Linked DNA regions of Mus musculus. Each later gene encodes a partner of the first gene's protein in a complex. Links are inferred from orthologs where the notes say so. Each region holds a gene or a part of one and is shown on either strand. Other genes may lie near its edges.

Region 1 (4,367 bases):
CAGAAGCCAGGGCAGGAGCTCAAGGCAGGAATCTGGAGGCAGAATCCTTGGAGGAATGCTGCTTACGGCCTGCTCCCCTATCTTTAAATCCAGATAGGAGGTGGTGGGCTACAGTGGACTTGGCCCTCTGACAAAGATAAGCAATTAAAAAAAAATGCTTAACAGACATGGCCACAGGCCAGCCAGTTTGATAGAAGTAATTGCTCAGTTGAAGTTCCTCCTTCCTGGGTTTGTATCAGGCTGTCAACTGAAGCTAGCTATGATGGGCCATAACTAAAAGATAAACTACAAATGGCTGCCTCCTCCCCACCCCACCATTTTCGAGATCTGGGCTTTTGGGGGCTAGAGGGTGATGTTAACAGGTACACACTCACAGAAAATGAAGGCAACACAACTAGAGACCACCAAAGAATGTGACTAACACCAGAAGGAAAAGGAGCCAAAACCAAGAATCAAAATAAACTATACTCAAGGAGTTTGAATAGCGAGAGAACTGAATGCCGTGCCGTGTGCGATCCATCGCTGAGAGGCAGAGGTAGGAACCTCCACTGGGCTACATGGAGAGAACTTATTCTCTCCCAGAAAAGAAAGATTTTGAGAAATAGAAGAGGAAGAGAACTCCAAGACTCATGATACACAAACAGGTGTTTATGAAACGGAAGTGATCAGAGATGACCTGGAAAGAACTGCATTCAAACACCCTGAGGCTGGGTCTCAAAGGTCAACGTTAGCAGGTGGGAGCCCGAGAATTTCAAGCAGGACTTACACACTAAAGCTCTCTCCAGTCAGGCCCACAGGCCCTCACCTACAGTTCCAACACCTGGAATACAGAGACAGGGTGTCCTGAGCTCAGGGTTAGCCTGGGACACATGGATGTCACTGTCACACACCTAAAATGGTTTTATTTTATTCTATGTGTATGTGTATCTGTTTTGCCTATGTGCATGTCTGTGTGTGTGCAGTACCTGCAGAGGCCAGAAGGATCCCCTGGAAATGGAGTTACAGATGGCCGTGAGCTGTTATGTAGCAAGAACAACACAAAGTCCCTTACAGCACAAAAGGGAGATATGTCTAAGGGCCCACATAAAAGAAGGGTTGGTTGACTTGGGAAAGGAGGGGGCACCTAGCAAGGCCTGAGGCTGAATGGAGAGGAAGGAGGGGGGAATAAAAAGCACCAAATGGCTGGAAGAACAAGGTCAGCAGACAAGGGCAGTAGGAGAGCCAAGAAGTGGGCGCAGCTGATGTAAAACTTTTCCCTAAGATAAGAGTAATGGAAGGTTGCTTCTACACTGGAAGTCCACATCGAACATCAGCTCTGGTCGAGCGGTACAACCATGACCACATTATTCCCTTAGGGGCTCACCATACCTCAATGAGAAATAGAATGTGGTGGTGCATGCCTTTAATCCAAGCACCAGAGAAGCAGAAGCAGGCATGTAAATCTAATTCTAAGTCCTTCCTTACCCCCCTTTTTATTAACAAGCTGCTGGCATTAAGCTAGGTAGGTTCTGAGATATTCTTTTTTTTTTTTTTTGAGGCAGGGTTTCTCTGTATAGCTCTGGCTGTCCTGGAACTCACTTTGTAGACCAGGCTGGCCTCGAACTCAGAAATCCGCCTGCCTCTGCCTCCCGAGTGCTGGGATTAAAGGCGTGCGCCACCGCGCCCGGCGGTTCTGAGATATTCTAACCCGGCTAGGCTGCTGTTACCAGGCTATATGACCCATTATTTGCCATCTGATCTTGCCCTGGCTCTCTCTGGTCCATGTGGGTCCTCATGGCTGCTCTCTTATCCAGACCTCATGAGTAATCCTTCTTCACCCACATGGTCTCTCCATCTCTTCTTCTCACCTGGTCTCTTCAGGACCCTCTGATTGGGAACAGAAGTCCCACTCTTCTTTCTTCTGCCCAGCCAATTGGTTGATCAGCTCATTAACCAATCAGAGGTGATGGAAAACAGTTTTTACATCACATTGAGGCAGTGTCTGGATTGTAACCAGATCTCAGAAATAGTTCCTGAATACACACTGCATACAACCATCCCCAACACAGGCAGAGATCTGTGAGCTCTAGGCTAGCCTAGTCTACATAGCACGTTTCAGGTCAGCAAGCCAAGGCTACACACCGATACATACCGAGTTCCCGTCTTAAAAAAAAAAGGGTCGGGGAGAGGGTTGGGGATATAGTTCTGTAGTAGAACCCTTGCCTAACATACACGGAGTCCTGGGTTCCATCTCTAGTGCTGCAAATAAATAATAAAGAGTAGGAGTTAGAAAGCTGGTTCAGCTGTTAATAGCCCAGGCTGCTCTTCCAGGGGGGCCGAGTTCTCTTCCTAGCACTCTAAAAAAAAGGGCAGCTCACAACTGTAACTCCGGCCCCGGGGTTCCGACGCTCTCTTCTGGCCGTCGCCAGAGCACGAACACAAAATAAATGCAAAATACATGCAAAGTAAATAAATGCAAAAAAAGACCCCGTGTCCGTCAGAATGAGTTTGTCTTTGCTCCAACTCCTTGTCTTGTCTGCATTTCGTTTTTCTCCCTGCTGTAAACCGGTCAGGAACAAACAAGCAAACAAACAAACAAATAAACAAAAAAACCATTACCCCTACGCGAGGTTAGCGGCAAGCCGTGACCAGGAACCGTCCCTCTACAGGCCCGGCCCCACAGGATGACCGCACCGGCCTCGGAGGTGCAGGGCAGGCTCGCTTACCTACACTGGAGCTCTGTCGCGAGGGTCCAGGCGCCGGGCTGGAGGGTCTCCTCCTTGGGGTCTGCGGTTTGCGACGCGGGCCCATGGCTGGCCTCGAGGGGCCGGGTCCCGCCGCCTTCCCTAAGCCTTCTTGGTCCTGCTGCCGAAACCGAACGCGAGCAAGCCCAAGGTGCGCGTCAGGACCGCCAGAACTCGGTCGCCAGCAGTTCAAAAAATCACCCGCCCCTCCCACCGCATCTTTTAAATCCCAACTTTGTGACTCTCAGTGGCTGGTTCTGGAAAGCCAGCGTGGAGCGACATCCAGATAAACCAATGAGAATAAAGGTCTGAAGCCAATGGGTACTTGAAGACGGGAAGGAAGGCAGGATTTCCCCACCCTTTTCCTGTTGATCTCTTTTTCAGATGCCCTCTGGGCAGGACGGCTCAGTTCTTACGTGGGTGGTGGGTTTGTAGAGCTCACTTCCTCAAAAGTTTTATGCTTTTCTATCAAACGTTGAGGTGGCTTTAAAAATACGGAAACAGATGCCCAAGAATGTGACAGCTCCACACAGCACCCGTGACACTCCTGAAAGCAACCAGCAAATATGATTCAGAAGCCTGGTTAACTGCATGACCTTTTCAGAAGATAGGGTCGTGGGGACAGCCAGGACGGAGGAATCTGAGGACAAGGTCCAGGCAGGGCAGGCGCCAGCACTATTATTGGACCATGCTATCAAACACAATGACAGAATTGCCTGAGAAAAAAACCGGCTTTTCCTTTTCTCCCGGGAGTAATATGAATTCAGGTCATGGCTCCGTAATTAGAATAAAGAGAATTTCGTCATTTTGCTTTTTTGAGTTTTCTAAATGATCTATCATGAACGTGTACTCTAATCAGGAAAATACTTATATAATCAGTGGTTTCATAGAAGCCTGGTGGAACATTGGGGTGGGTGGTGTAAAATGGCACAGCTGCTATGGAAATGTGTCATGGTTCGAATCTGAAATGTCCTCCAAAAGTTTGGTGTCCTCTGTGCAGCAGTGTTCAGAGGTTGGGCCACAGGTGCTCTGACTTCATCTGTGTATTCCTTTAATCCCAGCACTTGGGAAGTAAAAGCAGGTTTGTTATAAGGACAGGGCCAGTAGACCTACATAGTGAGTTCCAGACTAGTCAGAGCTATGAGCAAGATTTTATCTTATTTATTTTATTTTATTTTTGTCTCAAATAAACAAAAGACCAACAACCAACTCGTTCAATCTCCAGTATTTTACCAACAGACATGAAATTTAAACATAGAATTACTATATGATCCAGAAGTCCATATATATATATATGAAGACATCAGGATCCTCAGCAACTGTTAATTAGTCAGATAATATCCGTGTATGAAGTCTGCTCTAGACAGATAGCCCTTTAGTAAACTAGAAGGAGAAAGCTAGATTGAGGACAGACTCTACGATTCATAAGAAACTGATGATACTACCTATATAACTGTAATGGTGTGTGGGTTAAGGCATAAGAGGAGGGTAGTGCTTATTAACGTACGTAGTTTTGCATATTTTGGCTTTTGAACCAATCGGACTGTTGTACTGCAAGTGGGGGTGGGGCACCGGAAGAACGCAGGGCAAAATCCGAAATGAAGATCCACAGCTTGTATCTTCCTTCACCAGGCCGGAAGGGGA
Region 2 (3,649 bases), about 55 Mb from region 1:
TAGTATATATATTTAATGAAGGGCATTAAAGTAGATACCCAGCTTTAAATTCCTATGATCTTATTATTATAAAATGGAGGGAATATTAAAGAAAATTGAGGGGTAATGTGAACTGCTTTTTTTAAACAGATAGAGATGTTATTCCCTGTATAAAATGTTTATTCAGTAAACAAAGATGAAGCTTCCGTCTCTCTAAAGTGTTGCAGTAATGTTTTGTTTTAGTTCTGTGGTCAGGCACACAGCAGCAGTTCCATTTTCTCCGCCTCCTCCAAGTGACATGAAATTATTAGAAGATGAATTTATTATTGATCGGTCAGATAGAAGTTTTTCAAGTCGACTTTGGGTGATGATACCAAGCAAAGACAGGCATCTGAGCGCCCACAAGCCATCTCCTGAAAACACTGCACTGCTTCAAGGTAAGAAGTCAAGAGAGAAATCTCATAGTTTATCTGCAATGACGTTTGCAAGAAACACACAGTCTGATAAGGCTCACCCAATAGAGGAAGCTCAGCTCTCTGTTGAAGAAAACCCGGCAACTACTTGTACAGATGAGTTGGAAAATGATTGTCGATCTCCTGAAAATAAAATGCAATCTGAGACTGCCAAAACCCCACCCGCATGGGAAAGGACTACGAAACAGAGCCAGAGGAGAGTGTCTAAGCCTAAAGCAGCTGAAGAGCTCAGGAAGGGACAGAGTAGCTGGGAAAATAGCAATGTGTCAAACACTGGCCAAGACAAGCTACAGATCAACTCGAAAAGAAATATGAAGGACTGTGAAGAGGTGAGGAATGAGCCTAATCCCAAGAAACAGAAGCCAGCTCTTGGTAAGTGAACATGTCAGCTCGGCTCGGAGTGTGAATACTCTTGCATCATTTTATAATTGTTAATATTTCTCCTGTCTTTGGGAGGTGAGCAACAGAAAGCTTCTCTAAAGGTTGACCCACCTTTGGGGTTATTCTTGGGAACCTCTCTAGGTATAGTTCAGGACAGAGTCACTTGATTTTTTTTTTTTTTTTTTTTTTTTTAATTTAACATTCCTAAGGCGGAAACATACATGGAGAAGTGAAAGACTAAACAAGTTAATGATATGTTTTCCCCTGCTACTTGGTCATTTTTATGGGGTATGCAGATTGACATAGCTATATGGATGTGTATAGGATGAAAGTAGAGGAACAGAAAATACATCTCTACCCAATATTGCCATATGAGCTTTATAGCTTCATAAATACTTTTGAATATCGACTGGTTAATGAATATATTGTTCTGATATCTTACTATACTGATTGTGATTTTTCATTGTTACAAATTGCCACAAACTTAGTAGATTAAACAACACATTTAATATTTTTAAAATCTTTTTTTTAAAATAAATACATAGCTTTATTTACTTATTTTATGTATATGAGTACACTGTTGCTGTCTTCAGACACACTAGAAGAGGGCATGGGATTCCATTACAGATGGTTGTGAGCCACCATGTGGTTGCTGGGAATTGAACTCAGGACTTCTGGAAGAGCAGTCAGTGCTCCTAATGGCTGAGCCGTCTCTCCAGCACTTGTAAAAAAAATCTTACGGAGTTCTTTAGGTCAAAAATTTCATGGTACTGAGACAACTGAAGGATCTTTGTGTAGCTCTGTTCCTTCTAGTGTGTTTGTGAAAGGGTTAGCTCCTTGCTTTTTCCATCCTATCTACTTACCCATAATCCTAGACTTGCTCCTTCTCCATCATCAAAGCTAGTAATGGCTAGTTTCTTCTGTCACTAATTTTTTGCTTCTCTGCTATCATCTCAATTCCTGTGCAATCACAAGTTTTAAGGATACATGGATTGAGCCAGTAAGGTTAATCCAGAGTAACATCATTTCAAGGTTTATAATTTAGTCATAGTCAGTATCTTCTTCCAAAATAAGGTTTCAAAATAATTAAAATGAGAGGCAGTAACTTCCTGTCTTGGTTTTGAGTAGTGGTAAGTACAAAGAGACAATGTTTTGTCTTTCAAAAGGCAGTCAGCTTAAGGAGCTAGACAGCTTAGTGCTTGCCTTCCGAGCAGAATGACCTGAGTTTGATCGCCAAGCCCCAAGTCAAACAATTATAGCTGTTGTGGTTTCATGCATTTGTAATACCAGTGCTAGAGAGGCAAGGATAGGCCGATCCCTGGGGCTTGATGGTCAGCCAGCATAGCCTTAATGCTGAGTTACAGGCAGTAGCTCTCTCAATAAAATGTAAATGAATACATAAATGAGAAGAGGTGACATTTAGGGTTGTCTGCTGGTTTGCACACGTGTATACCTGTCCGCATGTCCCTGAATGCACAGGTACACACATTCCTCTTTTAGTTTATGACAAGCAGTGAGCAATGTTTACATTTAATTGACAGAAAATCACATCTTATTGAAAACATGCTCTCTTTTAAAAAAACAGTGGTGGAAATAAAATAGCTCATTGCATAATGTAAAATGTTTTTGTAATTGAGTTTTATTTAACTAAAATCTTTTGTGAACTTCTGAAAACATATTCTGAATATTTTTTGTGGTTTTTCTTTAAATTAGAAAATAAGAAAAAAACCAATAGCACCCAAACCAATAAGGAAAAATCTGGAAAGAAATTTTTTTCTGGTGGGTCCAAGAACAAATTTGTTCCCAAAAAAGTAACTTTGACTTCCAGGAGAAGTTGTAGAATTTCTCAGCGTCCATCTGAGTGGTGGAGGGTAAAATCAGATGAAAGTAAGTATATTTATTTAAATTATCTTTATTGAAGGGTCCCTACAGTCATTCTCTATGATGTTATGTGTGAATTATTCTCATTACATAGAAAACTTTTATGAAGATAAAGTTAAATGGATTCACTATTGTCAACTGAAGTATAAAGTTCTCCAGTGCTCTGTATGTAGACATGTGCTGTGGACAAAGTCAAAAGTCCTTGTGCTCATGGAGATGAAGGGTAAAGTCGAGAAAGACAGGAGGGGTGAATAGGTAGACTTGAGTACTATTTTGGTACAATGTTAGCACCTACAAAGAAAGATGATAAACTGAGAAACTTGGAATTATGGGAAACAGATCTTAAGGATTATGTCTTTTCTCTTGCTGTGATAAAATACTCTGATAAGTGCAACTTATGAGAAAAAGGATTTCTTTTGGCCTTCTAGAAGGTAAGACATGGTCTGAGGAGGCTAGCCCCTGAGATTGTATCCAAGTCAGGATCCAAAGAAGAATGCATGTACTTTCTCCACTCTGTATCATCCAGGATCTAAGATGGTAGCCAAGGAATGGTGCCACCCGCTTGCCCTGGGTGGGTCTGCTCGCCTTAGCTAACATTAACACAACTAAGCTAGCGTAGGCATGCCTAGACCCATCTCCTAGCATATTAGGTCCATTATAGATGGTCAGGCAATTAATGTGCAAAGTGAGAGAAAAGATTATTTAAGGAAGTTTATAATGGGATTAAAAAAATCTAGTACATGTCCTGCAAATGCAATTGAAAACAAAAGAATTTAAAAAAATGATGTGGAAAAAATTTAACTTATTAAATTGGTATGTATATTTTTATGTAAATGTAATGGTGTCAGTATTCAGTGAGCCAGATCATTTGAACAAACATGCTAAGTTTAAATTGTCATCGAATCTTTGAGGTTCTGTTGATAGAAATCCTTCAA

Evidence for each region. The genes of interacting proteins can lie anywhere in the genome.
Region 2: Cenpa (region 1) and Cenpc1 share a complex: the UniProt entries of both Homo sapiens proteins name them as parts of the CENPA-NAC complex. The link is inferred for Mus musculus from reciprocal best matches to the Homo sapiens genes CENPA and CENPC.

Annotation. Positions count from the first base shown.
Region 1 is NC_000071.6:30,665,452-30,669,818, reverse strand, and holds the start of Cenpa (histone H3-like centromeric protein A), read right to left. Parts: upstream 2,934-4,367; 5' UTR 2,791-2,933; coding exon 2,706-2,790; intron 821-2,705; exon of another isoform or gene 767-820; intron 128-766; exon of another isoform or gene 1-127. UniProt on the Homo sapiens protein: Histone H3-like nucleosomal protein that is specifically found in centromeric nucleosomes. Replaces conventional H3 in the nucleosome core of centromeric chromatin that serves as an assembly site for the inner kinetochore.
Region 2 is NC_000071.6:86,034,487-86,038,135, reverse strand, and holds part of Cenpc1 (centromere protein C), read left to right. Parts: intron 1-222; coding exon 223-824; intron 825-2,546; coding exon 2,547-2,720; intron 2,721-3,625; coding exon 3,626-3,649. UniProt on the Homo sapiens protein: Component of the CENPA-NAC (nucleosome-associated) complex, a complex that plays a central role in assembly of kinetochore proteins, mitotic progression and chromosome segregation.